Mus musculus: one gene and its partners. The protein of the gene in region 7 interacts with the protein of the main gene of each other region in a pairwise test. Links are inferred from orthologs where the notes say so. Each region holds a gene or a part of one and is shown on either strand. Other genes may lie near its edges.

Region 1 (3,932 bases), on a different chromosome or scaffold from region 7:
CCCTTCCATGCTAAATGGAGAATCCATTTCTGTAGGTGTGCAGTAGTAGGTTTGGTAGTGGCCGCTGGATTCTTTCCCTCTAACCCAATGTATTCTATTCTGGAAGCCAGGACATGGGGTTTGGGGGCAGCAATCTGCTCAGCCTTCCAACGGCCTCAGGCTAGCCCCCTCCTCTTCCCTAGCTCTCAGCTTTCAGCTTTTAGCCTTTATGCCTTTTCACTTGCCAAATGATTATTGAGCACCTACTGTGGACTAGGGCTTAAAGCTCAGCAGTGGGGGGCAAGAGCCAGCAAGCCCCTTAGAGCACACCTGCCTAAAGCACATTACTAGACAATTCCAAAGGCAGGTGACAAGGGCCACAGTGAGGGAAGCAGAGAGCATGTAGATGTCTGACCAAAACCCAGTATGGAAAACTTCCAGAATGAAATGGGCTATAAGTTTAATGGCAAATGGAGAACATTCCAGGCAGAGAGCATGCTTGGAGGTAAGATTGTGTTGAGAGCCTGGGGCAATGAAGGAGGCTCTGTTGGTACCCACATTTCATCTCTGAGCTCCCTCTGAGGGGTTTGATATGGCTTGTTCAGGACTCCAAAGTGCTCTGCAATGGAAGGTGATCATAGGTCCCCACTCCAGCTCTCACTTGTACCCTTCTGTCCTCTGCCTCTCCCCAAGTGCTGTGATTTGGGCTTTCACGCCAGCCTGGCCCGCACTTTTCGGACCTACCTCTCAGCAGAATATAACCTGGAGACCTCTCGCCATGAGGGTCTGGACGTCATAGAGAATGCAGTGGACAACCTGGACTCCCGGAGTGACAAGCACACAGTCATGGATATGTGCAGCCAGGTCTTTTGCCCTCCACTCAAGTTTGAGTTCCAGCCCCACATGGGGGATGAGGTAGGCTTCCTGCCAGAATCCTACGTAATGAGTCCAGTTTCCATTACCATATGAAAGTACCTGAACCTGAATACGCAGTGGTTCTCAACCCGTGTGTCATGACCCCTTAAGGGTTCACCAATTCTCTCACAGAGGTCCCCTAAGACCATCTTACTTATCCGATATTTGCATTAGAAGTCCTAACAGGAGCAAATTACAGTTGTGAAGTAGCAATGAAGATAATTTTATGGTGGGTGGGGTCACCGTGACATGAGGAACTGTATTCAAGTTGCACCATCCAGAAGGTTGAGAACCATTGAGCTAGAGGCCTCTTCGGTTTAGATACAGGAAAGCTAGGAGTTCTAAAAGCATGGTGCTGGTATCTGCTTGTCAACTTGTGAAGACTGTCCTGGTGTAAAATGACATGGATACCATTCTGCAAGGCAGAACAAACATGTAGCTCGGGTCGGTCTTTCTTTTGCTTCTGATAAAGCCACTACTGCTGCTGTGGCAGCACCTTGTCGAAACCTAGTCACTTCCTGGCAGCCCCACTTCTGAATCCCATTTTCACAGGACTTTGAGAATGAGTTTCCCATGCCTCAAATTTGGGAGAAGGGCGTGTTAACATCATAGCTACTACTTCTGTTCTCTTCCATGCTCCTAGTGCATTGTGGGAGGAGAAAAAGCCCGAGCACATAGGCCGTTATTTACCTCGGTGGCCTAGGGTCAGCTCTTAACTCATGAGCTTCTTCGGATGATCTCCTTGTCTTGTTTGCTAACGTCCCCTACCTACAGAATTGTAGGACCTTGGCTTTCCTTAGACCCCTCTCCTAGGTGTGTTTAGGAAACTTCAAGGATGCTCCAGTCTTCCTAGAAATAGTCTCCTATATCCTTGGACCTGAGATGGCCTCATCTGACACCCCTTCCAATACTGTGAGCCTCTGATGCACCAGACAATTGACTTTTCTTCCATGCTTGTGCTGTCCAGACCCTAACTGAGGTCTGGAGAGGAAAACAAACAAAGTCACAGGTAGTAACAGCTTTGGAAGGGAAGACCTTGAAAGAATAGTGCAGCCACTCTTTGTTTCTGTGGGTGACTGCTTCCAGGACACTGGTGATATCTGAATTCAAGGGTACTGAAGCTCCTCACATAAGAACACTATTCAAAGAACTTGTGCGTATCCTCCTGTATACTTGAAATCGCCTCTGCATTACTTAGCATACCTAACACTATGCAACTGTTGTGCACGGTTGTGTTGTATTGCTTAGGGGGCAATAAGAAAATGCCTGCCTACATTCAGTCCAGAGATTTTTTCCCCCTCCTATATATACTTTCTGTCCTTGGTTGGCTGAATTTGTGGACATGCAGTTTGTAGACAAGACAGACCAACAATGTGATTGTCACAATTGTCTCCGGTGCATCTTTACTCATTCCTAACAGTGACAGGAGCACTTGTCAACTGCTTCTGGTTCACTGTGCTCACTACTGTCTGTCCAAGCAGTTACTTTCATTCCACAACTCCCTGCCTTGCAACTGATTAGTCTGGCTTGCTAAGATTATGTTAAAGGTCTCTTCAAGCCCACAGTGACTGTGCAAATATGACTGAAGAACCACGCTGGCGACAGCAGGAGGGTAGACGCTAGAGTAAGAGGACCCTAGTTCCCATCTGGTACTGCCTTTGCCGTCCGTGTCCAACACGGGTAACCCAGGGCAGACTCCTTGGCCTTGCTGGACCTGTGTCCTGGGCTCTGGATGGAATGTTAATGATAGCCCCCACCCTGGCTCCACAGATCTGCAATGACAGAGTTCCTTTCTGCAGGTCTGCCAGGTCAGTGCACAGCAGCCTGTCCAGACAGAGCTGCTCATGCGGTACCACCAGCTGCAGTCCAGGCTGGCCACTCTCAAGATTGAGAATGAAGAGGTGAGTGAGCTGCTACCCTGTGTCTAGTTTCTTTGGGCTTGTGCAGTGGAGTCTCATGCCCTGGACTGTATAGAAAATGATGGCTCATTGGTGGGAGACTATACAACCGCACAGCCCACCTGCACTAAGAATATTTAGTGCCCTAAAGGATGCTTACAAGACCTCACGTGAAAGGGAAACAAGAGAAAGCCGGACTCTATGTTTAGAACGATTGCAGATTTGCAGGCTTAGAATGCTTGGGAAAATGTTTTGAACTGTGAGCCTTGGCTCCATCTCAGCTGTAGAGTGATTGATAGTTACTAATGAGTTCATGCTTTTCTGCCTCACTCTCTGCTGTAAGTTTGGGTTGTCATCATCAGGAGTCAGAGTTAATATTTAAAATCACACAATGAAATAGGTAGTCCAGGCCACCCTAAATGTATTGTGGATTTTCAAACCCCAGGGAGTGGGTCAGCCTCACCAGTCCAGGGTTCCTCCCATATTGCTGAGTGGCACAGTATCACACTGTGCCGACCCATTCGGACATAGACTGAAGAAGCCAGGCAGGCAGTGTCAGAGGAAAGATGTCAGCCAACCCTGGGGCCCTGGAGAAAAGACCCCAGGATGTGGGCAGTGCCATTAAAGGTGGTGTGCAGTCAAGGTGTAAGGTGAGGAGGCCACTGTCTTCAAATGTCATGAAGGCTATCCTGGACAATAGGGACAGTTGTGCTTGGAATCGCTATAGAGGGCAGAGCTAGGACAGAGCTGAGCTGACATAAATCGAAGCAGGCCTGGGAAAGGTCACACGAAGACAAACCAACTTGTTTTTTTAAACCTGGCAAGACATATACAGCAGGCAGACAGAATGCGTCCTTTCTTTCTGCTTATCTTCTGTCTCCCCACCACCACCTCAAAGGATGTTTAATGGTTTACATGTATAATGCCATTAATGAAATTTAAATGGAAATCAGGGCCACAGGGAGGAGACAGAGGCACACAGCCCTCTCTGTGAGCTGTGGATGGGCTTGGATATGCTTATCCTCGAATCAGCTTCCTGTCAGTCTATGTTGGAAAAAATCTTTGATTTTGATGTATTCACTCATTTATCCATTCAACAAGTATTTATTTATGTGGTATTTATTCACATAATACATGCTA
Region 2 (3,932 bases), on a different chromosome or scaffold from region 7:
GGGACGAGACTCGGAACTCGAGGAGTGACTCCCACGAGCGGGCGGGATGTTGTGGGAGACGCAGACAAGGCAGCAGAGAGACGAGGCTGGAGCGCGTGCTTTGACTCACCTTTTTCCTTGCTGAGGCTCTGTACCTCCTGCTTGACGCTGTCATTCCAGTGGGTGATGTCCACATGCAAAGCATAGTCACAGCAGCTCTTCCCATCGGCCCACTCACGCCACTTTTCATAGGCCTCTGTCAGGCTAGACTCAGGTTCAGGTACCACGTGGTCAACTGAAGGACAGAGGGCAAAATGGGTGACTCGGAAACAGTTTGGTCTCCCTGTCTCTATTCCTGCTCCTTCCAGCTTGGTTAACTCGGGGACTTGGAACAAATTAGTAGCTTTCTGAAACCTCAGTTTTCTTTTCTTAAAAATGGGTGTAGAGTAGATGGGGAACACGTTATGATTGTATTTTTCCGTCTGAGTTTTCCATATGACTAAGTGCAAAATGCATATATAAGGTGCTTCACTGATACCTGGCGCATATTAAGTGTTAACTCCTCATGACTACCTGCTATTTTTATGTTGTGACTACTGGCTCTGAGTCACTATTAATGGCCAAAGTTGTGTTCTCTTCCCTGGATAGAAGAAGAAGTTCTAGATGTATAGCAGGCATGAGTAACCAAAGCCCATGAACTTGCTAACAAGAATAAGTTTCTCTGAATTCAAACCCACTTTTCTCTGCAACCATGGATGATACATATTTTTAAAATAATTGTGGGTATGTCTGCATCTGTTTGAATCAGCTGCTGGGTGGAGCCTCTCAGAGGACAGTCATGTTAGTCTCCTGTCTTAAGCATACCACAGTATCATTAATAGTCTTGGAGATTGGTGCTTGCCCATGGGATGGGTCTTAAGTTGGGCTGATTGTTGGTTGGCCTTTCCCTCAGTCTCTGCTCGATCCTCAGTCCCTGCATTTCTTGTAGACAGGATAAATTTTGGGTTTAGAGTTTGGTGAGTGGGTTGGTGTCTCTATCACTCCATTGGAAGGACTGTGGGAGGGGGTGACCAGGAAGAGGGGCAGTGAGCAGGGTGTAAAGTGAATAAGTAAAAAAGAAAAAAAGTTAAAACAGTAATGGAGGCATGGTAGTGATCCCAACACCTGGGTGGCTCACTAAAAGCTCAAAACCAGCCTAGCCTGTGTAGCAAGATCCTAATATCTCAAAACAAACAAAACACACCATGCCTAAATTAAGAGAAATGATATTAAGTAAAATTATATTTGTATTTTAAAAAAATAATCATTGTGGTTGTTATAGTAGGGATTTAGCAAAAGCTCTACCCTCACCTGGGCCACAACGGGTAGCTGAGTTAAAGTGTGAAATTGGTTCAGCTTTTGGGAGGACGACATCGAAATATATATCAAAACTCTGGACATTTTCCAGACCAGACTCAATTTACTCTCATGCCTAAGCCTCATGCCTAGGAAGATAAGTTGTAGCTGTCAGCAGCATTTAGTATCTAGACTGTACGCTGATGCATTTACGAAAATGAAAAATCGAAAGTGGCCGAGGTTGAAAAAAATTGAGAAGTTTAGTTTAAAACATAGAGACACTTTTCACAGAGTGACGAGAGACACCCATTTTAAAAGCTGAGGTAGAATGTGAGCAAATGACTGCCTGGAGCAACATTCGTGATCCACCACTTAGTGGAAAAAAAAAAATCACAGCTTTAAATATGGCACAGATACTAGGATCCTGCTGTGAACTTGGAAACTGCCATAGTAAGAAACTCCAGCAGTGAATAGGGTTACGTGGATCCTTTGCCTTGCACACATCTAGAGTTTCTAAGTTATCAATAAAGGGCAAGAATGCATCTGTGGCTCCTTGTAAGCTTTATTCTTCGCCTAAACCTCCCATCTGCTCTCTGCTCCTTTGCTCATGGAGAAAGACCAAGTAGACAAGACTTTACAAGCATGCAGAACAGGCCCAGTTCCTGGCCCAGATGGCAGCCAGCCAAACCAAAGCAAGAACCACGCATTTCCTCTGTCAACAGAGCCCGAGTGCACTGATGGGAAAGCATAATGCATCCAGCTACATCAATACTGTCTTCAAGGACACCAGGGCTTTCCTGGGCAGAAAGCTGCTGAGAAGTCAGCTGGCTTCCTTTTATCAGTTGCGGGGAAAGGCTCAGGCCTCCCTGGACTGCACCTTTTATGGCCTTGCTAAAGTTGAACCCTGCTAGTGGTTCAGTCAAAAGGAAGGTCAAGACAGACTGTAATTCTGGCTCAGGCTGCTCTGTGCCTGTGGGTAGAAGAATAAGCTGTTAAGTAAATAGTGCTGTGTCTGAGTTTGAGGCTAACTCTGGGCCAGTACCCAATTCATTGAGATTCCTTGGAACAGGAAGGACTGCCTGAAATACTATCAGTTCTGTACTCCAATAACATGCAATTTCCCAAGTTTCTCTGGAATTAGTAATTACCAGAAGCAAAAGAAAAGAAAAATAAAAGAAACCGCTCACAGCTTTCCTAATCTTAAAGATACAAATTGGTCAGAATATAGCAAAGACCCAATAGCACTAAATCCACCGAGACCCACTAATCTCCCAAGAACTGTCAGTCTCAATGATCATTCTTTCAGACATATCTTTCTCTGGTTGTTTTCAGTAACATTAAGTTCATGGACGTCCTTTGTGTAACTACAGGAAGTTGGCAGTTTTCCTGCTTTTCCCACACCCAGGGTCACATAGCTTCCATGAACCAAACTGAGAGAAGTGTGTATAATTTCCGTATTTTCAGAGGGCAGTGTTTGACACCTTTCTCAAACCCACAGGGCTGGGCAGTACGAGAGAACGTACTGATCATGGTGGTGCCTCCCGCTAAGGCAGCCTTTGTCCCTTGGAAGAAATCGTCCACTGTGGTCATTCCCTTGTAAGGCATCTGGAAGTGGGTATGGACGTCAATGCCTCCAGGGATCACCATCTTCCCGTTGGCCTCGATGGTCTTCACACCTCCGGGGACAATCAGATTGTCTCCAATTTGCCTGACGAGACAGTGGAACAACGGACAATTAAATGGAGCGATCCTCAAGACGAGCGTAGGATGTCTAAGCAAAGACAGATAGCTGTGTATCCAAAACTACTGCCCCAGCATCATCTGCATGGCACTGTGTTATGGTTTGGTACTGAAATCTAAAGATTGCCAATGTCTAGAGTCAGTGCGTGACTCATATTTTTATATAACTATTTCCATTATTTCATTCACTTTGTTTTTTCTCTCTATTGGTGTGGGATCACACTGGGGAAAATGACAAGGAACGAGAAATAAATGACTGTTAGGTGCAACAGAAGATAATAACTTGGTACAACAACAGGCATGGGGACTTAGTCATCTGTGCCCTAATCAAAGGCGTCTGCTTGAATCACCACCTGCTCAAGTTTCTTTTTCTTACTCCACCATTCCCTGATCAGCTAATAATGCCTTGTTGCAGATGCACAAGGACAGCATCAAACATGCAGCTCTCTCCCACACCCTCTGCTTTTGTATGGTCAGTATTTCAATAGAGGCTCCAGACAAAGAAAAGTAATTATGGTAACCCCGAAGGCTTCAGAACATCCCAGGAAAGAGTGGGGGAATAAACTCATTGAATACATAAATGAGAGTTTCAAAGGTTCATCTCACAAGAATGTGATAACTATTCCCCACAAGGCTGTTTGCAGGCCACTGGTTGCAACATTGCCTAACTTTTTATTTTATTTTATTTTTTAGCTTTGATTTAGACATCTGGCCAGGTCTGCCCTCATAGTATACCTAGGATTCACAGTTTATACTAATACTAAATATCTCCTACCTTGGGCACATATGTGCCCCACTATTTTCCCTTCTGTAGATAGCCCCCCAAATTCTCTTGGGGTAGTAAAAAGTCCACCCCACTGCTGACCAGCAAACTGTAG
Region 3 (4,694 bases), on a different chromosome or scaffold from region 7:
GTAATCCCAATTCTGGGGTAGTGGACAAAGCAGGATCCAAAATCCTAGGTCATGACTGGCTATACAGGAAGTTCAAGGCCAATCTGTACTATATGATATCCCTTTTCAAACAAACAAACAATAAAATGTTGTTCATGCCTTAATACTGACTTTATAACACTATATATTTAAAAATCATTAAGCAAGGTCTAATCAACTCAAAGCTATAGGCTAAATTGGTAGTCGTCTTTCCAACATTTCTGTTACTGAGGAAAGTGAAAAACTATCTTTTAAATGTCATTTTTTAAAGTTTACTGGGAAAAATAGTAGAGAAAATTAACTAAGGTAACACTATAAAGAGCAAGTTGAGGAAATTCTCATCTCCTCCAACTATTTTTAGAAATCTCATTTTCTGATAGGATCTGAAATGTATATGACTATCACAGAAAATTTAACAATAAGCAGTTTAGGACTAAGCAGCTAACTGGGACCTGAACTTGATAATTAAAGCAGATACTCTCCTAGTCTTATTCAGTCTTTTGTTCTACAAAGGCATGTAAATTCTATCTTGGTTACCTAACTGATCTTCTTAGGTAACTATAAAATGTGTCACCAACAGGTACAAAAAACAAGTTATTCAACTTAAATATCATGTAAAGTTAAAATTACAGGAAATAATCTTTTCCAAAGTTCAAAGAAACTACATTTTGCACTGGAGAGATTTTTAAAGGACATCATATGCTGTGCTTGCTTCAGGGAACCTAAAACAGTGGAGAGAAAGGAAGCCGCAAGCATGTAACTGGGTACGAGGTAAAGAAGATGGAGTATGCAGTGCTCATTACAGGCATCATGGGAATTTCTAGAAGGCAATCCCATGAAGCCAAGACACCATAAGTCTGAATGTTGTTGCAGCAACAGACCCAAACTAAACTCACCTTTCAGAGAAATTCAAAGAAAGCGTTTTAATTCAACATTCTTACTTCCTGTGACTACTCTGTCATCCATGACTAAGAAACTGAAAAGACAGAATTTTCCTGAGGCGTGTGTGTGTGTGTGTGTGTGTGTGTGTGTGTGTGTGTGCGCGTGTGTGTGAATCCAGGAAGCTGGAATTTTAATAGCAAATATGGAAAGAGAACAAGCAGCAGAAAAGATGAGGCACTGTTAGACTTTGTCTTAGTCATCTTTATAACCCCCATGGCAACCAATGCACTGCACACAAGGGGCAGTGGATAAATAATGAATTAGGTTTAATTCAATTCACTTGCACTTACAGTGTGCTTCGCAGTTACAAAGCATTTTTCTTACATATGAGATGAGAAAATCAAAGTAAGTGAGAAGTAACAGGGCAAATCAGGGAGAAAAGGAAGCAAAACACATAAAGAGAAACCCTAGAAGAATAGGCAAATGTCCGAAATGGTGGGGGAAAGATTCGGGGAGAATTTATTTCTCCCTACTACCTTCAATCCCTTCCATCTTTGAGTATATAGAGCTTAGAAAGTCTGACTGCTAAGCAAGCCTTAGGAAAGGGGCTCCTTCCTCTTTGAAAGGGGCATTTTCACAGATAAGGCTTGAAGAATATCTTAAGTTTGCCTGCTCGGGTACGACCTCAAGCAAAACTCTCATATTTTCCAAGCATGTCCAAGAATCTTTTATTTCAATGTAAGCATCCCCTTTGCAGAGTTCAGTCTGGGGATGACTGGAGAGGTCCCCAACAAGCCCCTCAACTCAGACAACAGAGGGAGATAGTGAGACAGGAAAGCCAGGAGACTAGAGAAAAAGCCCACATTTGCGTCTAGGAGGAGGGCTAAGGTTTGAAACTGGTCATTAGAAATTGTCGGGTGTGTGTGTGGGGGAGCCTTCAATATGGAAGAAAGGAGAATACTTGAATGCGCATCACTTTAAACCCAATGTTGGACCCTTAACAAGAAGCCGCGAGAGGTTTAAAGCCACCGCAGACCTCAACCTAGGAAAGCAAAGGACATGCTGGGGTGCACAGGAGGGATCCCACATATATTAGCTTGGATGCTGCCCTAAGGGAAGCATGTTACCCTAAAGTAGCTCGCTCCCTTCCCGATCATCCTCAGCCCAGCATGGAGGAGGGGGTTCCCACCTTCCAACTGGAGCGACTGCATCCTGACCCCATTATGCGGGCTTAAAAGTTGCCAGGAGAGTTGGCGCTGGGGAAGGCACTTGGCAGGGCGAGACCTAGAAGGGGCCTCGGGTTTCCAGGAACAAAGGGGCTGGTGAAGGGGCAGCCACGAGAATAGGTCCCACGGGCTCCTCCCTTAGCCTGGAAACAGGGTCGCCGCGTCCTCTCAACCCGAAGGCGTCGAGGGAAGCGGGAAGCGGGGAAGCTGCGCGGGGATTCCACCGCCCTGCTTCCAGCTTCAACCAGGTGGCGCCCGCCGCCCTCTTGCTCCCCGCGCCCCTCCAGCTGAAGACAAAAGAAGTCTAGGGTCCCCGGGCCCCTGCCAGAGCCAGAGGACCCCTGTCCATCCCCAGGGAGGACCCTCAGCAGTTGGTTGGAAGCTCCCAGGACGTGTTATGCCCTAGCGGGCACCCCTCCCTCGTACCGGGACCCTGCGCCCCAGTGTCGCCTCGCTCTCCCCACAGAGGGCATTACCTTTCATCCAGTCCACTACTTGACTCGGAGACCATTTGCTCACCGGTTCCATTATCAGAGCCATGGGCGGCGGGGTCGGTGCCGCGTGGGACGCGGAGCTCGGACAGAAAGCCAAGTCCGCAGCCCGCTGCGCCCTCAGGTGGGGTCGGTGGCCGGCCGCAGCCTCCCGCGGTGGGCGGCGCGGAGAGGGTGGCTTTTGTGTTTCGGTCCCAAGGCTGGAGCGTCGGAGGTGGCTGCGGTGGGAGCGGCGACGGCCGGCCAGCTGGCCGGGGTAAGACGCCGGGGTCGGCTAGGTCCCAGCCCAGGCGGCAGCCGCAGCTGCGGCGTCCGCGGCTCAGCCCGGGGTGAGCGTCCCGAGGGGCTTCAGTGCATGGCTCGAGCCGCCGAGGTCGCGGCGGGGAAAGGAAGAGGCGCCGGCGCACGGTCGCAGCCAACTTGCCCGCTCGCTCGCCTGGCGCGCGGGAGTGGAGCCCCCGGCACGACGAGCCGCCCGGCGGAAATGACGAGGGGCCTCCTGCCACCCAAAATATCTCTCCGCAGCCCTCGGGTGCGGGGCGCGCGCTCCACGAGCCCCCCGCCCCGCTCGCCGCCGCGCGGTCCCGCCCCCAGGGCCGGCAGCCGGTGCGCGCGAGCCCTGTGCGCGTGCGTGGGCCAGCGCGCGTGGCCGCCGCCCGACTTCTAGCAGACTCGCGGGCCAGGTGTGGGCTGCTCGCGCTCCCGCCTTCCCGCCCCGGGGGTCGCACTCGGCCGGAGCCGCGCCGGGAGGGCGTGTGCGGCAGCGCCTGGAGCCCCGGAGCCAGCCGCTGCAGCTGGAGGCTCGCCCAGCCCCGGGGTCAGTTAGGCAGTCAGGTGCGGCGGCGGCAGGAGAGTGGCTCCCAGTGGCCTTCCAGGAGAGTCAGCGAGACGGGTCGCCCCACCAGTTGAACGGACAACCCGGGGTGGCGGAGGAGGGTACTATAGCACCCCTGTCCCAAGCTCTCCTCGCCACCAGGGGGGAGGGGACGCCGCAGAACTGCTGGGGTGACAATGGGAGTCCTGACTGTTCTCTCTGTCGCCCTCGCGGCTGCTGAGTTGGCTCCCGAGGTGACTCCTCCGGACCCTGCGGAGAACACGGGATGTGGGCTTCCGCAGATGGGAGTCAGGATCTAGCCAGAGACGCCCATAGGAGACTAGATGGCTCGTGCTGTCGGATCTACCCTGGGTGATAAAAGGAACCCGGGAAGTCAGAGATGTCAACTGCAAGAGGCTCCAGCCTCCAGAACCCACACGTGCCTCTTCCCAGGCTCTGCTTCAGTTGTCGGCCACCTCCTTCAACACAAGGTCCCCGACATCTATTTTACATGATGTCATTTTGTGTTCAGTCGTTCTTATATAAGAACGGAAGAGTAATAACAGGACTTAAAGTTAGTGACAAATTGCAAACATAATGTTTCACATATTGTTTGCTTCAAAAAACCTATGCATGCTTCTATGCAACGTTTAGAAATACACATTTTGCCTAAATGAGGCTTCACTTTCAATGACAATTCTAGAGCGTCTAGTAGCAAGCTCTACCACCATTATAGCTGGTTTGTTTTTTTTCCCCCCTCGGTATAATTCTTAAACAGTCACATTGAGTAAACAAGCAACTTCTTTTATTTCTATAATCATTTCAATAATGTCAATAAATCATGTCAGTTCCTTCGGTACCCATTTTGTCTAACTCAAGTTTATAAGATACAGAACACCACTTTCTTCAGTTGGCATGGCTTGGCAAGTTCTCCCCCAACACAGGAGAAGGCAAAACAGGAGTAGATAACACACTGATGTTTTTATGCTAGTGCTACAAACAAATACCATTTAAGAAGCTTGTGTTCAGACTTGTTTACTAATAACCCAAACTCCAAAATATACAAATAAAATTTTAAAAAGAAATTTACTGGGGACTGGAGAGGTGGCTCAGCGGTTAAGAGCACTGACTGCTCTTTGAGAGGACCTGAGTTCAATTCCCAGCTTCCATATAGCAGCTCACGACTATCTGTAACTCCAGTTCCAGGGGTTCTGATACTCTCACACAGTCATACATGCAGGTAAAATAAATGAAACAAATCTT
Region 4 (3,932 bases), on a different chromosome or scaffold from region 7:
TATGTCCTGTACCTGTAGTGTTTGTGTAAAATATAAATGGTTGGGTAGCCTGGGCAGGTCTTTATTGGGCCTTTGGGCCAGTTCCTGTATTCTTACCTACCACTAGACCCATTGACTGTCCCTGGGGGCCTTTGGCTGTCCATCATCTTCTCTGCCAAAAGCTAAAGAGAATACATTGATCATAGCTCTACTTGATTCTTGCTAGGTCAAAAGAGACACCTTATCTATGCTTCCAATAGGAGCTTCATTTGCTTCATAGAGAAAAAAGGAGGCAAAGCCCCTGAGTACCAGATTGTGAATCAAGGTGTTGACCTACTGTCAAAGGTTTTCTTTCCTGAAACTAGAACCAGAGGTTCTTTTTTTTTTTTTTTTTTTTTTTATGCCAGAGGTTCTTTTATGTGCCTCTCAGGTGTACTGAATGTGCCAGACCTAGTAACTTGAGAGCAACCCGTTTTACAGATGAGGAAATCGAGGCCCACCTAACACCACCCAGTGACAGAGCTGAGATTAGAAGCAACCATACTTGGGATTCAAGTCCTTACTAACTTTAAGCAGCTGCACACTCAGAAGGCCTTTCCATATTGCCTTCAACTCCATCTTTCAAAGGTCCAGGAGCTTTGATGGAGTATTGACTCCCCAAGCCAGTCTAGGGAGCCTACACTCTCCGCTGCTCCATTGATCAGACCACACAGAGGTCCTGGAGGGCAAGGTCCCTGGGGGAAATGCAGCAGCTGGGACGGCAGGGAGCACAGGGAACAAGGGCCACGTGTGCCCTAAGAGGGGGCCAAGGAGAGAAGCCACAGGAAGTGTCGGGAAGGAACTGATACCTAGAGATATGATTCTGATCCCTGTCTGTCTGTCTGTCTGTCTTCACTGCTGGGCCTCCAAATTCCTGCTTTCTTTCTCTGTAAGCTCTCTCTTTCCCTCCCTCCCTCCTCCCCTCCTTCCTTCTCTCCCTCTATCTCTCCTTCCCTCTCTCTGTCTCTCTCTCCTCTGTCTCCCTTTGTCTGTCTTTCTGTGTCCCTTTCTCTGTCTTCTCTCCCCTTCACCTCTCCTGTGCCCCTTTTTACATTTCTCCTTCCTTCTCCCCTCCCTGTGTCTCTCAGAACTGCCTTCACATTCTTTACATTCCCTGTGCCTTGCTCTCGACCAGCCATGTGTCAGAGCTGGTGTGCAGTCATACAGGATGCTTGTCGGATCATAGGGACCAATTCTTCAGGCCCGAGATACAGCCCAGGCTATTGCATTTTTAACCAGCATCCCAGGTGCGAAGCTATAGCTTGTGGGCACTTAGGCCTCACCCCCTGGATCTTCTTCCTATCTCCATGATTGATGTATTCACAGCCTCCCAGCATGTGCTGGGCACGTCCATCACATGCCATCTGGCCTGCTAAGCCTGCTGCTGCTGAGAGGGGAGCCCTGCACCTGTGTGTTACTGTCTGTGACTACCCTGTGCCATGCTCAGTCCAACGACAGTTCCGTCTCCATCCTGCCTAGTCTCCAGGGAGGGTCTGTGTCTGATCCTGGTGTACCCTGGCTTGCTCTGTAGAAACCACAAGCTCCACCTCGTGACCCCACGCTTATCTTCCTTTATGGGCTGTGCTCTTAGAGAGGGATGGGGCACTCCACAGTCTAATGCACTCCATCGAGAGAACTCTGGGGTTTCTCCATTACAGGCCCCCATCTGCCAGCCTGCCTTCTGTCCCTATCAGCCCCAGGCAAGTGTCTGGAAAGAAGGCTTTAGAGAGTGAGTTGGACAAGCGTCATGCCAGGAGCAGTTAGCCTACCACTCTGGTTATCCTATGAGTGATTTCGCGGGTCTGCTTGCCCACTTACAAGCCCGACACACCCCCCTCTGCTCTCCAGTTGTTTCTGAGGCTACCTCTGGTCTAATATTGCTAGGGGCCTGGCTAGTTTGGTTTGATTTTATGTGAAAACCAACCCAGGCCCTCTGGCCGTAGACTGGGCTGGCTGAGTTCTTGGTCCCTTCCTGAGTCAAGGGAGCCAGCAGGGTGACAGAGGAGCAATGAGTCATGTTGACATGGAAATTCATCATCCCGGCCCCTCGGCTGAGTGAGTGAACTCAGCCACGTCATCTAGGAAAAGACCCTCCCCCCTCCCTCCCTCCTTCCCTCCCTCCCCCTTCCCTCCCTCCCTCCCCCTCCCTTCCTTCCTTCCTTTCTTCCTAACTCCCTTCTGTCTAGTGAGCCACTTCAGTTTCCCTAATTTAGTTTGATCCAGCTGCTGCGAGGAATAGCCCCAAATCTCTGTGGATAAGCACTCTTGACGTCTGCTTCTCACCCAGATAATATCTTAGAACTCCTGGAAACTGGCAGCCTCCCTTGTTGAAGAGCCCACCGCTTGTCTGCCCCCCTTTAAGGCCACAGAGACGGAGCAGAAAACACTTTCCTTAACCACTTCGGTCTGCTTGTCTACGTGGTTTCTGCTCGTATTCCACTGGCCAGAACTTGCTCACGTGCCTCAGCCAGATGTTAGGGAACCTGGGAAAGTGATTCAGCTTTGATCCTGGGAACCCAGGAAGACACAGACAAGCGTAGGTGATAGAAAGATGATCATGAAGCCATTTGCTTGATCTCAGTTAGGGATTCCTTGCTCTGCGTTTGTTTGTTTGTTTGTTTGTTTGTTTGTTTTTGTCCTTTTTTTTTCGGACCTTGTTACACCATGCACTAATTAGATGCCTGTTGTCTTCCACCTTCCATGCTCTGTATAAGAAGCAACGAGTTCTCTTTTTCCCTCGTTGCTGTGTCCCTGGTGCCAGGAACAGCATCCAGTGTCACCTGGGTAAATATTAGTTGGGGAAAGGAAGGAGGGGAGGAGGGGAATGGGGTAGCAGTTGAAAGAATGGTAGTTTGGTGGCATCCTAATTCTTCCACTTAGTCAATAATTTTGAGTAAACGATGTAATTAAGAGCCTCAAATTTTCCTCATTTATAAAACTGTTGAAGTCATTCTCCCCGGGCACATACATTACGTCCTGAATCGATGCAGTGTGTTAAGGCCCCTAGCTTAGTCTCTCAGGTGTGGCAGGGGCTGCACACTTCCTATAGAATTTGTATAAAACAGTCTGTGCCTATCCACTACACCGGAGCGCGTTGTTACGACCCAGTTCCTGTGCCTGTGCGCCTGGGCTGGCGAGTGCACCTATTAGGCCGTTTTTGGGAGCTGGAGCACTGCAGCCCTTTGGAGTGTTACTGTCTTGCCTCCTCTCCCTCAGGCTGAAGTTAAATAGCAAGAGGAACCAGCTGGTGCGAGAACTGGAGGAAGCCACTCGGCAGGTGGCTACCCTGCACTCCCAGTTGAAAAGGTGGGTGGCCAGGAGGTGACCCAGCTCCATGATGCCCTTCAGGATCCTCTGGTCCACCTTAGCTTGAGGAAAGACATTTAGAAGCTGGTCATTCTAGCATATGCAGGCTTGGCTAGGGTGGCTGGCCACCGGGTGCTTCATCCCTTGGCACTGTACACACAGAGATGGCCCCTAAAAGATGCCCGTGGGTCTGAAAGCATATCACATCTGCCTTCTTGCCCATGTTGATAGCAATTTCTCCTCAGTGAAATTGGGTGCCGGTCCAACTTAGGCTGTCAAGTGGGCTAGGCAGACGGATGCACATAGTTCCAGAGCCCGGTGGAGTGGCCCCTGGCCTCCTCACTCCGTGTTATCTCTCTCCTTTCCCTGTCCCCAGCCTCTCAAGCAGCATGCAGTCCCTGTCTTCAGGCAGTAGCCCTGGGTCACTCACCTCCAGCCGGGGCTCCCTGGCCGCCTCTAGCCTGGACTCCTCCACCTCAGCCAGCTTCACTGACCTCTATTATGACCCGTTCGAGCAGTTGGACTCGGAGCTCCAGAGCAAGGTGGAGCTGCTGTTCCTGGAGGGTGCCACGGGCTTCCGGCCCTCAGGCTGCATCACCACCATCCAC
Region 5 (3,932 bases), on a different chromosome or scaffold from region 7:
CTCTTTTTTTTCTCTTTTTTCATCTTTGGGGCTATTTTTTGTTTTTTGTTTTTTGGTTTTTGGTTTTTTTTTTTTTTGGAGACAGGATTTCTCTGTGTAGCCTGGCTGTCCTAGAACTCACTCTGTAGTGCTGGGATTAAAGGCATGTGCCACCACTGCCCAGCCTGATGGCCATTTTTCTAGTCTCCTTGTTTGTCCTGGTGTGAGTGGGATATGTGCCCCCACCCCACCCGCACCCTGCCATACACACCTATACGGTACTGTGTGAATGTTTCTCCTGAGGAGGGCAGGTCAGAGGTCATGAACCCATGAGGACCCCACAAGGGAACAGAGACAGCCTGCTGCTGCACCCAGGGAAGGAAACAGATGTTGCTGCTCATTAAAAATTCAATCAGCAGCCTGTCTCCCTCAATTAATCGTGGCTGGCTGTCTGTGGGGAGCAGGAGGGCTTGTGGTAGACTCTGTGAGAATGGAGGCGGGGAGGTACGGTGCTAAGCTGTCCTCACTCTGCACACACAGGGTTAAGTGGTGGTACAGCCACGACCCCTCCCCTCGGGGCTTACATATGCTCTGGTGATGCTAGCTGCTGACCCTGGGGATAACCACAAGGAGCCGGTAGAATGGCTGGCAGGCCTGTATCCAGAGACAATCAGTGTTACTATGCTGGCTACCATGAGCCTTTCAGTCACACCATGGGTTCAGCCATATCATCCAGAGGACCTCGTGTCCCTAGTGAGTGCCACTGTCTGCCTTGTGTTGGGCTTCTCCTGCAGTAGTGAGGGAAGGGCCTCAAAGTTGTACCAGGAGGCTCCTGGCCCTCAGTCTCCCCTCTGCTCCGTGGCTCCCTGACTTTGCCTCTCTGCCTTGCCCTGAGGATTCCTCCCTAGTCACAGGTGACAGGCATGCAGGGCTGTTGGGTCTGGTTTCTCCAGGCTGTGTGGTGCTGCTGTGACTGTTTATACAGAAAATCAGTCCGTGAGGCGGGGTCTCCCCAGCCCAGCCCAGCCCAGCCCAACTCAACTGCCGCCTCTCACTTCCTGCCTGAAGGGAGCCTCTCCTGGGGTCTCAAAGCCTAAATATGTGCAAGGGTCCCCCACGTAGGTCCATATCAGCTGCCAGCAGTGTCCACATAGCTACGGGCACTGCTGGAATCTAGGGAGCAGCTCTGTCCTGAGGTGCAGGTCCCCAGGGTGTGTGTGTGTCCTGACTCTATGACCACCCTGTTTTGCCTATAGGAGGTGGGAGTTCCTACCCTGCAGATGCCCTCACATGCCTCATCTTGGGATTCAGCAGTCTGGTGTCTAAGGCTTCCCTGACATTGTTGAGTTCCTTCTAGAGCTGAGCCAGACCCTGTAGACCTTGGTCCAGACCTGCTCATAGGAGGCTTTCTCCCTAAATACCCCTTTTATGCTTTCTTTGATTAAAAAAAAAAATTAGGGGGAGGATGTTTCTAGAATATGGCTCCCCAAAACCTAACTCTTCTTCCCGCAGGACTCTGGCTCACGAGGCAGCAGCAGTGGTCGGGAGCGCCTATTGGTGGAGCCACCTCTCGCCCAGGAAAAGGCTGCGGGCCCCGCCATCCCCTCCCACCTACTCAGCACCCCGTACCCCTTTGGCCTTTCCCCCGGCTCAGTTGTACAGGACTCCCGCTTCCAACCACTCAAGTAAGTGCCAGCCTGGGGTCAGGGAAGGCACAGGGGTGGCTCCAGACAGACCTGAGAGTTTGCACTGGCAGAGGTAGATAGAATGCCATTAGTCTCAGTGGCCTGATCTGCCCTGAGGTCCTTGGCCCCATCTGACCTTGTGGTCCAGCCTTTGTTGAGACAGACTTATCAGGTGTCCTAAACACATTTAAGCCCATCCTCTGGGTCTGGGGAACAGAGAGCCCCTCCAGCATCTCTATCCACTCGTGGGGACCTTGAGGGACAGGCAGCTTCCCATCTGTGCAGTCTGGGCTTCATGCCAGGCTGTACCTCACTGAGAGGCAGGACCTGAGCCTGGTGAGGGAGTGTGGCACATTACCTCTGCTCCCCACTTCCCCCTCCCACAGCCTCCAGCGGCCTGTGCACCATGTGGTGCCCCCCAGCACGGTGACTGAGGACTACTTGAGAAGCTTCCGGCCCTACCACACTGCTGAAGACTTACGCATGTCCTCCTTGCCTCCGCTTGGCCTGGACCCAGCCACCGCCGCAGCCTACTATCACCCCAGCTACCTGGCCCCACACCCATTCCCCCACCCGGCCTTCAGGTGAGGCGTCCCCACTCACGCTGCCCTGTGTGCTAATCTGTTCTCAGCAAGGCAGAACCTCTCGGGGCGGGCGTTTGCCAGGGCTTGGGGTCCAGGCACTCAAGGGAGCTATATAGCTTTCCCCAGCTCGACTGAGTTGAGTCTTGATGGATGGACTCAGTACCACCTGCTGATGCTCCTTGGTTCCCACTTCTCAGCATCTGCACCCCAGCAGCCAGTCCCCACTAACAGTGTGTGGTACCTAGACAGTGTGATGGAGACTCCGGAGTGAGAGTCAGGCCATGCCCTCCCTCTTCCTGTAGAAGCTCCTGGCCTCTTACCACAGCGGGTCACACCAGAGGTCTCTGCCTGCAGCCAGTCTGCCCTCCCGCTCGCTCACCCATGGTCCGGGAGGTCCTAGGCGCCCATGTGGTCTGTTCCTTGTGGCCCCAGACAGTGGACATGCTCTTTGCATGCAGTCTCTGCAGGGCTGAGCCTGAGTGAGCAGTGGCTCGCCCAGCCGAGAGGCGCCGGCTCACCTGCCTGGGTCCCGGCCTTTCTCCTGCAGTGCCAGGGATTCACCTGAGGGCTTCGCATCTGCTAGGCAAGCTTATCCTTTGTGGCTCCTGCACACACCAGTCCTGCCTCTCTGTCTACAGGATGGATGACTCCTATTGCCTGTCAGCCTTAAGGTCTCCGTTCTACCCCATCCCCACCCCTGGCTCCCTGCCTCCACTGCATCCGTCGGCGATGCACCTGCATCTCTCCGGCGTACGGTATCCTCCTGAGCTCTCCCACTCGTCCCTGGCGGCGCTACACTCGGAGCGGATGTCCAGCCTCAGTGCAGAGAGGTAAGCTGTGTTTTCAGCAGAGGTGGGGTGGAGGGGACTGTTGAGCGTTCCTGAGGTCCTCAGCGGGGCCTGGCTTGGTGGTGGCGGGATGCGGTTCTTTGTGTGTAGGTGGCAACTCTTGCATGTGGCTGCTCCACTTTGAGCTGGGGCGTGGACTTGCCCCCCCTGCACATCCCTTTAGCACGCTGCCCTGTTTTCCCTCCCAGGTTGCAAATGGACGAGGAACTGCGGCGGGAGAGAGAGCGAGAGCGGGAACGGGAACGGGAGGCCGACCGGGAGCGGGAGAAGGAGCGGGAGCGGGAGCAGCGGGAGAAGGAGCGGGAGAAGGAGCTGGAGCGCGAGCGGGAGAAGGAACGGGAGCGCGAGCTGGAGCGGCAGCGGGAGCAGCGGGCGAGGGAGAAGGAGCTGCTGGCTGCCAAGGCCTTAGAGCCCACCACCTTCCTGCCTGTGGCCGAGCTGCACGGACTCCGAGGTCACAGCACGGAGGAGCGGCCCAAGCCCTCGGAGCAGCTGACCCCAACCCGAGCAGGTACCTGGGCTGAGCTGTGTGGAGGGAATGGCCTGTGCCTGCCCCAGCAGTAAGGAGGTGCCATCCCAACGCTGGCGAGACTGGGAGGAGGTGTGCTCTGTCACCCTGGGTGGATCCAGGATCCCATGGGTGCCCCCAGAACAGCCAAGACGCTAGGGAGGGGAGTTGCCATCACTGCGGTAGAACCTTGGTTGGTCTCTGCCTTTTGCCATGGTGATGGTGAACACCAGAGTCACGCCACTGAGATACCCCCAATCTGACCTTTTGTTCTGTGTCAGAGTTCTAAAGCCAAGGCTAGCCTGGGACTCAACCGTCCCTCAAATTC
Region 6 (3,932 bases), on a different chromosome or scaffold from region 7:
AGAAGAGCTGTCGGAGAAGAAGTCTGAGATTGCCAGTCTTAGCAAGCAGTTAAGTGATCTCGGTGCTCAGCTGGAGAGCAGCATCAGCCCGAGTGACAAGGCCGAAGCCATCTCTGCCCTGAGCAAGCAGCACGAGGAACAAGAGCTGCAGCTGCAAGCTCAGCTTCAGGAGCTGTCTCTGAAAGTCGATGCTCTGAGTAAAGAGAAAATGTCTGCCCTTGAGCAGGTGGATCATTGGTCCAACAAGTTCTCAGAGTGGAAGAAAAAAGCACAGTCCAGACTTGCCCAGCACCAAAGCACTATTAAAGACTTGCAGGCACAGCTAGACGTAAAAGCCACGGACGCTCGTGAGAAGGAGGAGCAGATATGTTTACTGAAGGAAGACCTTGATCGGCAGAATAAAAAGTTTGAATGTTTAAAAGGCGAGATGGAAGTCAGGAAGAGCAAGATGGAGAAAAAGGAGTGTGACTTAGAGACTGCGTTAAAGACTCAGACAGCAAGGGTCGTTGAATTAGAAGACTGCGTTACTCAGAGGAAAAAAGAAGTTGAGTCCCTAAATGAAACACTTAAGAATTACAACCAGCAGAGGGACACTGAGCACAGTGGGCTGGTTCAGAGACTTCAGCACTTGGAAGAGTTGGGAGAAGAGAAAGACAACAAGGTTAGGGAGGCTGAAGAGACCGTCCTGAGACTACGAGAGCACGTGTCCTCGCTGGAAGCTGAACTTGGAACTGTGAAGAAGGAACTAGAACATGTAAATTCAAGTGTGAAAAGCAGAGATGGGGAGCTGAAAGCTTTAGAAGACAAACTTGAGTTAGAAAGTGCTGCAAAAGTGGAGCTGAAGAGGAAGGCCGAGCAGAAGATCGCTGCCATCAGGAAGCAGCTCTTGTCTCAGATGGAAGAGAAAACCCAGCGGTATGCGAAGGACACAGAGAACCGACTGAGTGAGCTGAGTGCACAATTAAAAGAAAGAGAAAAGCAAGTTCACAGCCTAGAAGACAAACTTAAAAACCTGGAGAGTTCTCCACACCCAGAAGTGCCAGCGGTGTCCAGATCTATGCAAAGTGTGGCAGCGTCTCCCGAGCAAGAGGCTCCAGATTCCCAGGACTGCACACACAAGGCCTGTAAAGAAAGACTCTGCATGCTGCAAAGACGTTTAAGTGAAAAAGAGAAGCTGCTGCGCAGGCTGGAGCAGGGCGAAGGCGAGGCGAGGCCATCGCAGCCTGAGGCTCAGCACAGGGCGCTCTCTGGAAAGTTAGACTGCACTAGAGCCAGGCAGCTTGAAGATCACGTTTTGATAGGATGTCTTCCAGAAGAACTCGAAGAAAAGATGAAATGTTCCTTAATTGTGTCTCAGCCCATGGGAGAAGAAACTGGTAACAACACAGGGGTGAAGCAGAATTGGGCAAGTGTGGTTGACAGTGTTCAGAAAACCCTCCAGGAAAAGGAGCTCACTTGCCAGGCCCTAGAGCAAAGGGTGAAAGAACTGGAGTCGGACTTAGTAAGAGAGAGGGGCGCCCATAGACTTGAAGTGGAAAAGTTGACCTTAAAATATGAAAAATCGCAATCTTCCCAGCAAGAAATGGATGGGGAAAATAAATGTGTAGAAGTGTTGGAAGACAGGCCTGAGGAAAACTCCCAATCCCATGAGATCCAGTCAAACGTGGGGACCGTGGACGGCCTGCGCAGCGACCTGGAGTCCAAGTTGACAGGAGCGGAGCGGGACAAGCAGAAGCTGAGCAAGGAGGTGGCGAGGCTGCAGAAGGAGCTGCGAGCTCTGCGGAGGGAGCACCAGCAGGAGCTGGACATCCTGAAGAGGGAGTGCGAGCAGGAGGCCGAGGAAAAGCTCAAGTAAGTGCTGTGCCCATGTGCCTGCGTGCGTGCGTGTGTGCGGTGTATCGTATAGACACTTTTACCTGCCCAAAGTGTTCCATAAGCCTCGTAAGTTAAGTACTGAGGAGAAATGATCATTTTGGCCTGGATACAGTGTCATTCCATGTTCGTTTAGGGGACATGGCTCCTCTTGCAGGTAAGATCACAGCTGCTGGCTGCGCGTCTGGAGTAACGATCTCATTGCTGTTCTCTTAGTCGTAGCCTTGTGACTGTAGCATGCAGGTCTAGGGGAGAAGTTTACAGTAGGAAGGAACAGTTCTCCAGAGCCCAGGTTAGTGCTGAGGGTAGTTATAGTTCATCAGTCTCACTTTGTATGCGCTGTTCTCTTTACACACACACATACACACACACACACACACACATACACACACACTCAGAGTGGTTTCCCCAGCAGTGAAGTCCCATTCTTCTGAAGCCTGGTCCCTGTTTGCTCTGTGGAGGCAGCAGCAGTCACCGCTGTCCACTCTTGTTCTCAGACAGGAGCAAGAGGATCTTGAGTTGAAGCACACGTCCACACTGAAGCAGCTGATGCGGGAGTTTAACACACAACTGGCACAGAAGGAGCAGGAGCTGGAAAGAACTGTCCAGGAGACCATTGGTAAGCACAGCTTTGAGCTCGGCAGGGACACCACCCTCAGGGAGCCCACAGTTGAAGCTTACTCTCCTTTCCCATGTGGTAGGTGCTGTGTGTCATTAAACTCAGGGAAAACGGTCCTTGTCCAGAAAGTGCACTTGTCCTCCTGAACGTCCTCTAACCTGCCTCGCCATCACTCACTGGCCTTTGGCGAGAAGCAGCGCCTCCCCACGCCTGCTCTGCTGCATTTCATCAGCATTAATTTGAAATGAGAAGTTCCTATTGCCGTTGGCATATAGTCACAAACATGATTTCTCATTTATGTCCCTTTTCTTTTATTAGATAAGGCCCAAGAGGTGGAAGCCGAACTTCTGGAAAGCCACCAAGAAGAGACACAGCAGTTGCATAGAAAGATCGCGGAGAAAGAGGATGATCTGAGAAGGACAGCCAGGAGATACGAGGAGATACTCGATGTACCTTGGTTTCCTTCTCTTTTGAAGTGTAGCAGTGTTTTACGGTAGCGCTGAATATTCTGGCTTCTCACATGGAGAGACGTCTTTGAGAAGCTAAAGTGAGGCTTTGTGCTTGGGTTAAGTCTGGGAGCAAGTGCAGCCTGTGTCTGAGGCGGCTCACCCTAGCCATAGTCTTCCCAGGACAGTAGCCAACCTCCTTCCTCGCCACTCGCTGCAGAATTTGATGGTCCAGGGTGGACTGTATAGGAAAAGGAGATTTATCAGCTAAGTGTTTTGTGTTCAGTAGATGCTGTTTCAGAGTATGTAATACAGTGGCATTGCAGTAGCAGAGTAAAAGAGACCACAAACGAGGGTCAGAACTTGGACCCCATGGATGTTTTCAGACACAGCACTGTCACTTATTCTCTGTTGGCGTATTACGTAAGATAACCTTACTGCGTCACACGCCGGGAGACACTTGTTGTTCCAGAAGAGCCGTACTTCAGCTGCGTCAGCACTGCATGTGAGGGAGGGATAGATGGTGACAGTCATTGTTTTAAATGTAATCAAATTGAGTGAAATTTCAGGATATGGAATGCCACCTTTGTGCAGTGTGCAAGGTTTAAATCTCATTAGGAAAATTAAAATAATTGCACATTTTCTTAGGCTTTCAGAGTATATTTGTGCTGAGTTTTTAAAAATACAGCCAGGGAGCTGGAGTGATGGCTCAGTGGTTAAGAGCTCTGACTGCTCCTGCAGAGCGAGCATCCAGGTTCAGTTCCCAGCGCCTATGTGGTGGCTCACAGCTAACTGTAACTCCAGTTCCAGAGCACCCGGTGTTCTCTTCTGTGCTCTGTGGGCACTGCACATGCATGGTACACATAAATTCATGGGCATTTCAATGCACATGGTACATCTGGTCTCATGTAGACACATAGATAATAAATGCATTTTTAACAATCCCATTGAGGTGTTGGTGCCTATGATCCTGGCACACTTCAGGAGCTGGGTTA
Region 7 (3,932 bases):
TTTATAGACGCTCCAAAAGGGGAGTTTTACAAGGGCTTCTCTTCTTTTAAAAACCTCCTACTTTGATCTTATAATGAACCCTTCCCTTGTTAAGGAAAGCACTGTGGGGAAATGCCCCTTCTGAAATGATAAGGAACTAAGAGTAGACTCTCTGGGAAAGCCTTCTCTGGTGCTCCAGGGTTTTAGGGGGTGTCTGGAATGATCTTCTAAAGTGAGAGTGGGTTTTGTACTAGATACTGCAATGCATTTTGTTTTAATGTTATGCATTGTATTTAATGATATTTGCATCCATGTGAACTTTACAAGGCCTATTCAAAACACTCAGCAGAACAGAGCTTTGAGGATTCTTCCAGCATGTCTCTGTGACATTCTAATAGGCACTGTAGACCAAAGTGGGTTTGGCAGGGCCTTGTATGAAACCCATAGGAAGCCGAGACTGCTTGAATGAGCAGTTTAGTCAGGAAGCACTCTAGATTTTTTTTTTCCCAGCCATGATCCATGTGAGCTAAACCTATGGATGGACCCGGGCTCCCATGAGTGCAGTATACACCCAGAGGTAGAGGACCGGCTTCAGTATTCACAAAATGCAGCACAGGTGGAGGTATCCCTTGCACCCTAGACTTTGATGCTTTTTCTTAAGAGGTCAGATAAAAATCCCAAACAGTACCACATTGCCTGAGTGCCAAAGAAGCATCCTGATACCTGGAAATGGTGTGTGTTTTTAGTGGGGACATCCAGTCCTGTGGAAATCAGGTGGCCCATTTGATAAAGTGCTTTCCATTTAAAAACCCAAGTTCGATCCCTAGAAGACACACATAAAATCCAGACATGGCCCGTGTAGGCTTGTGATCATAGTACTGGGGAGGCAGAGTCAGGGGAATCTACCTTAGGGCTTCTCGACCAGGCAGCTTAGTGAAATTGCAAGTTCGAAGCCAGTGAGAAACTATGTCTTAATCAAAGTGAAAGCTATGTATGCCACAAGCCTTTAATCCCCGCACTCAGAAGACAGAGGCAGGTGGATTTCTGAGAGTTGTTAAAGGCCAGTCATGACGACATTGACTTCTAGACCAGCCTGAACTTCACAAGCAGACCCTGTCTCACGAAGGAAGGAAGGGAGGGAGGGAGGGAGGGAGGGAGGGAGGGAGGGAAGGGAGGGAAGGGAGGGAGGGAAGGGAGGGAGGGAGGGAGGGAGGGAAGGGAGGGAAGGGAGGGAGGGAAGGGAGGGAGGGAGGGACGGGAGTAGAACTCAGGGTTCCAGCTCAGACTCCAGCATATCAGCTGTAACATTTAGGATGTGGCTTAATCTCTTTGTACCTGGGATTGCTCATGTCTCAAATAAGGAGGATGGTTATCTCAACCCTGTGAGATCACAGAAGGAAAGACATTTAGAGTATTCTTCTTTCATAGAGCAATTGTATCTAAAGCCAAAGCTAAGGACTTTACAGGCAGGAGCTTGGGATAGCTTATAAAACATCTTGTGTTGCTGTCCAAGAAATATTGAATAAAAATAATTGTTACTACTGCCACACTACTTCCTGACTTCTTAGCAGTTCCAGACAATAGCAAACTGAACCTGTTTCCAGGAACCCTGAGGTAGCCCTGCAAATTTTCTAAATTGAAGACTCTGAAGGGTTTCCAGATGTGCTCTCTGCAACCTTGACTAGCAGGAATATCTCTGCCAGTGAAGTGTATCCCAAGTGTGATTACTGCTAACTGAAAACTGCCCTGTCGTAGCTCTGATGGATTCAATTCTTGCATACAGATCTTTTTGTCCCTTTAACCTATGGGCTTCTAATAATGCTGCCCCTGTGTTGTGTGCTTAGATCCCGCAGCTGGTAGCTGTCAAATCCCAGGGACCTGCCTTGACGGCCTCCCAGTCAGTACATGAGCAACCCACAAAGGGCCTGTCTGGGTTCCAGGAGGCTCTGAATGTGACCTCTCACCGGGTCGAGATGCCACGCCAGAACTCGGATCCCACCTCAGAAAACCCTCCTCTCCCCACGAGAATTGAGAAGTTTGACAGAAGCTCTTGGTTACGACAGGAAGAAGACATTCCACCAAAGGTAGCATCAGTGCTGCTGGGTGTCTGTGTCACTGCTGCCATTGCCACCATGTGCCACCATCCCATCCCTTTTACAGTTTAGAGAATTTGACTGTGCAACAACACCTTCCTTCTCACATGCGTCTCTTCCTAAGCTGAGTGTTGGCTAGTCATTAATCATTTCTGATCTTCATCTTCCCAAGGGGACAAAGACAGAGAAGTATGTCTTAAAACAGAATTATAACTCTCAACACCAAACATTCTAGGCCGTTTTGCTGTCCGCATTAGCCAACAGACTAGTGGGTATTTTCAGTGATTATTGCATTTCTTGCTAGACAAACCAAATCAATAAAAGAAAATGTGCTTACCCTTATATTTAACAACACAAAACTTGAGCAGATTTCAAGGGTTCAGAAAATGGTATGGGGGCTGGGTAGATGACTCAGTCAGTAACATGCTTGCCATACAAGCATGAGAATCTGGGTTCAGGTCCCTGGCACTCAAGTAAAAGCCAGGCATGGTGGCATGTGCATCTAAGCCTGGTGTTGAGGATGCGGAGGCAAGAAGATCCTTAGCCAAAAGAGTCTAGCTAGATTGGTGAGTTTGTGGTTCAATGAGACCCTGTTATACACACAGAAAGAGAGACAGACAGAGAGATGGAGAGACAGCAGGTTGGAGAGACAGAAACAGAGACACAAACAGAAACACAAACAGAAACAAACAGAAACAGAAACAGAGCCAGAGAGACAGAACAGAGCCAGAGAAAAGCAGAGGAAGGAGAGGGAGAGATTGAGAAAGATACCCAGCATTGACCTCTGACCTCCATAGGTGCATGCATGTGCACGCACACAGACACACACACACACACAGGGTGTCACACTCATGTATACACATGTGAAAACACACATACATGCACAGACAGGCTGGCCTTGTCTTTAAGCATTTCACTTAGCTCTTCTTAAGGAATGCTCCCTTTAGGGTAAGGGGTACTATATGTATTTGCAGACTCAATTAATTACAGAGGGTCGAACTTTTACAGAGAAATGACTAGTTTTCCTACTAGTGTTCCTACAGAACAACCCTAAGTGCTTTGGTTTTATCTCACGTTACTAAGATGATATTTGTTCTGGAATGTGGCTGTTCTGGAAAGTGTCTACAGTCAACCTGGAGGTCTTTGAAATGCTTACGATATTTTGCACCATATTCTTCCTGGTCCATGAATCTTTCCTACTGTGCTTAGCATACAGAGCAGTGACAATTGTAATGTCCTGGATTTCCAGAAAACGGTTACTACTAACTCCGTGAAAGAGAAAGTGGATTTAATGATTTACAAACTATTACCTTTTCCCTCTCAAGTGGGGTCACAACAGGATTCCCATTATTCTGACAATGAAACAGTGACTGTGCTGTTGTCTTAGTCAGGGTTTCTATTCCTGGACAAAACATCATGACCAAGAAGCAAGTTGGGGAGGAAAGTTTACTTTTCCATACTGCTGTTCATCACTGAAAGAAGTCAGGACTGGAACTCAAGCAGGTCAGGAAGCTGGAGCTGATGCAGAGGCCATGGAGGGATGTTCTTTACTGGCTTGCCTCCCCTGGCTTGCTCAGCCTGCTCTCTTATAGAACCCAAGACTCCCAGCCCAGAGATGGTCCCACCCACAAGGGGCCTTTCCCCTTAATCACTAATTGATAAAATGCCTTACAGTTGGATCTCATGGAGGCATTTCCTCAACTGAAGCTCCTTTCTCTGTGATAACTCCAGCTGTGTCAAGTTGACACAACACTAGCCAGTACAATTGACCCCTTGTCAACTTGACACACAAACACATCACTAGTAAGCCTCAACCCTTACATTCTTATTCATCCCCAAGATCTAAATAACTTTAAAAGT

The links.
Region 1: the proteins of Tnik (region 7) and Srgap3 interact in a two-hybrid assay, tested with the Homo sapiens proteins (2 studies listed by BioGRID and IntAct). The link is inferred for Mus musculus from reciprocal best matches to the Homo sapiens genes TNIK and SRGAP3.
Region 2: the proteins of Tnik (region 7) and Dpysl3 interact in a two-hybrid assay, tested with the Homo sapiens proteins (2 studies listed by BioGRID and IntAct). The link is inferred for Mus musculus from reciprocal best matches to the Homo sapiens genes TNIK and DPYSL3.
Region 3: the proteins of Tnik (region 7) and Cnksr2 interact in a two-hybrid assay, tested with the Homo sapiens proteins (2 studies listed by BioGRID and IntAct). The link is inferred for Mus musculus from reciprocal best matches to the Homo sapiens genes TNIK and CNKSR2.
Region 4: the proteins of Tnik (region 7) and Wwc1 interact in a two-hybrid assay, tested with the Homo sapiens proteins (2 studies listed by BioGRID and IntAct). The link is inferred for Mus musculus from reciprocal best matches to the Homo sapiens genes TNIK and WWC1.
Region 5: the proteins of Tnik (region 7) and Gse1 interact in a two-hybrid assay, tested with the Homo sapiens proteins (2 studies listed by BioGRID and IntAct). The link is inferred for Mus musculus from reciprocal best matches to the Homo sapiens genes TNIK and GSE1.
Region 6: the proteins of Tnik (region 7) and Golga4 interact in a two-hybrid assay, tested with the Homo sapiens proteins (2 studies listed by BioGRID and IntAct). The link is inferred for Mus musculus from reciprocal best matches to the Homo sapiens genes TNIK and GOLGA4.

What each region holds. Positions count from the first base shown.
Region 1 is NC_000072.6:112,772,461-112,776,392, reverse strand, and holds part of Srgap3 (SLIT-ROBO Rho GTPase-activating protein 3), read left to right. Parts: intron 1-672; coding exon 673-894; intron 895-2,693; coding exon 2,694-2,795; intron 2,796-3,932. UniProt on the Homo sapiens protein: GTPase-activating protein for RAC1 and perhaps Cdc42, but not for RhoA small GTPase. May attenuate RAC1 signaling in neurons.
Region 2 is NC_000084.6:43,358,125-43,362,056, forward strand, and holds part of Dpysl3 (dihydropyrimidinase-related protein 3 CRMP4b), read right to left. Parts: intron 3,023-3,932; coding exon 2,838-3,022; intron 275-2,837; coding exon 110-274; intron 1-109.
Region 3 is NC_000086.7:158,040,175-158,044,868, forward strand, and holds the start of Cnksr2 (connector enhancer of kinase suppressor of ras 2), read right to left. Parts: upstream 3,024-4,694; 5' UTR 2,667-3,023; coding exon 2,603-2,666; intron 1-2,602.
Region 4 is NC_000077.6:35,875,921-35,879,852, reverse strand, and holds part of Wwc1 (protein KIBRA), read left to right. Parts: intron 1-3,234; coding exon 3,235-3,324; intron 3,325-3,700; coding exon 3,701-3,932. UniProt on the Homo sapiens protein: Regulator of the Hippo signaling pathway, also known as the Salvador-Warts-Hippo (SWH) pathway.
Region 5 is NC_000074.6:120,564,877-120,568,808, forward strand, and holds part of Gse1 (genetic suppressor element 1), read left to right. Parts: intron 1-1,491; coding exon 1,492-1,664; intron 1,665-2,050; coding exon 2,051-2,248; intron 2,249-2,886; coding exon 2,887-3,078; intron 3,079-3,284; coding exon 3,285-3,607; intron 3,608-3,932.
Region 6 is NC_000075.6:118,557,933-118,561,864, forward strand, and holds part of Golga4 (golgin subfamily A member 4), read left to right. Parts: coding exon 1-1,851; intron 1,852-2,369; coding exon 2,370-2,491; intron 2,492-2,809; coding exon 2,810-2,940; intron 2,941-3,932. UniProt on the Homo sapiens protein: Involved in vesicular trafficking at the Golgi apparatus level. May play a role in delivery of transport vesicles containing GPI-linked proteins from the trans-Golgi network through its interaction with MACF1. Involved in endosome-to-Golgi trafficking.
Region 7 is NC_000069.6:28,605,315-28,609,246, forward strand, and holds part of Tnik (traf2 and NCK-interacting protein kinase), read left to right. Parts: intron 1-1,823; coding exon 1,824-2,063; intron 2,064-3,932. UniProt on the Homo sapiens protein: Serine/threonine kinase that acts as an essential activator of the Wnt signaling pathway. Recruited to promoters of Wnt target genes and required to activate their expression. May act by phosphorylating TCF4/TCF7L2.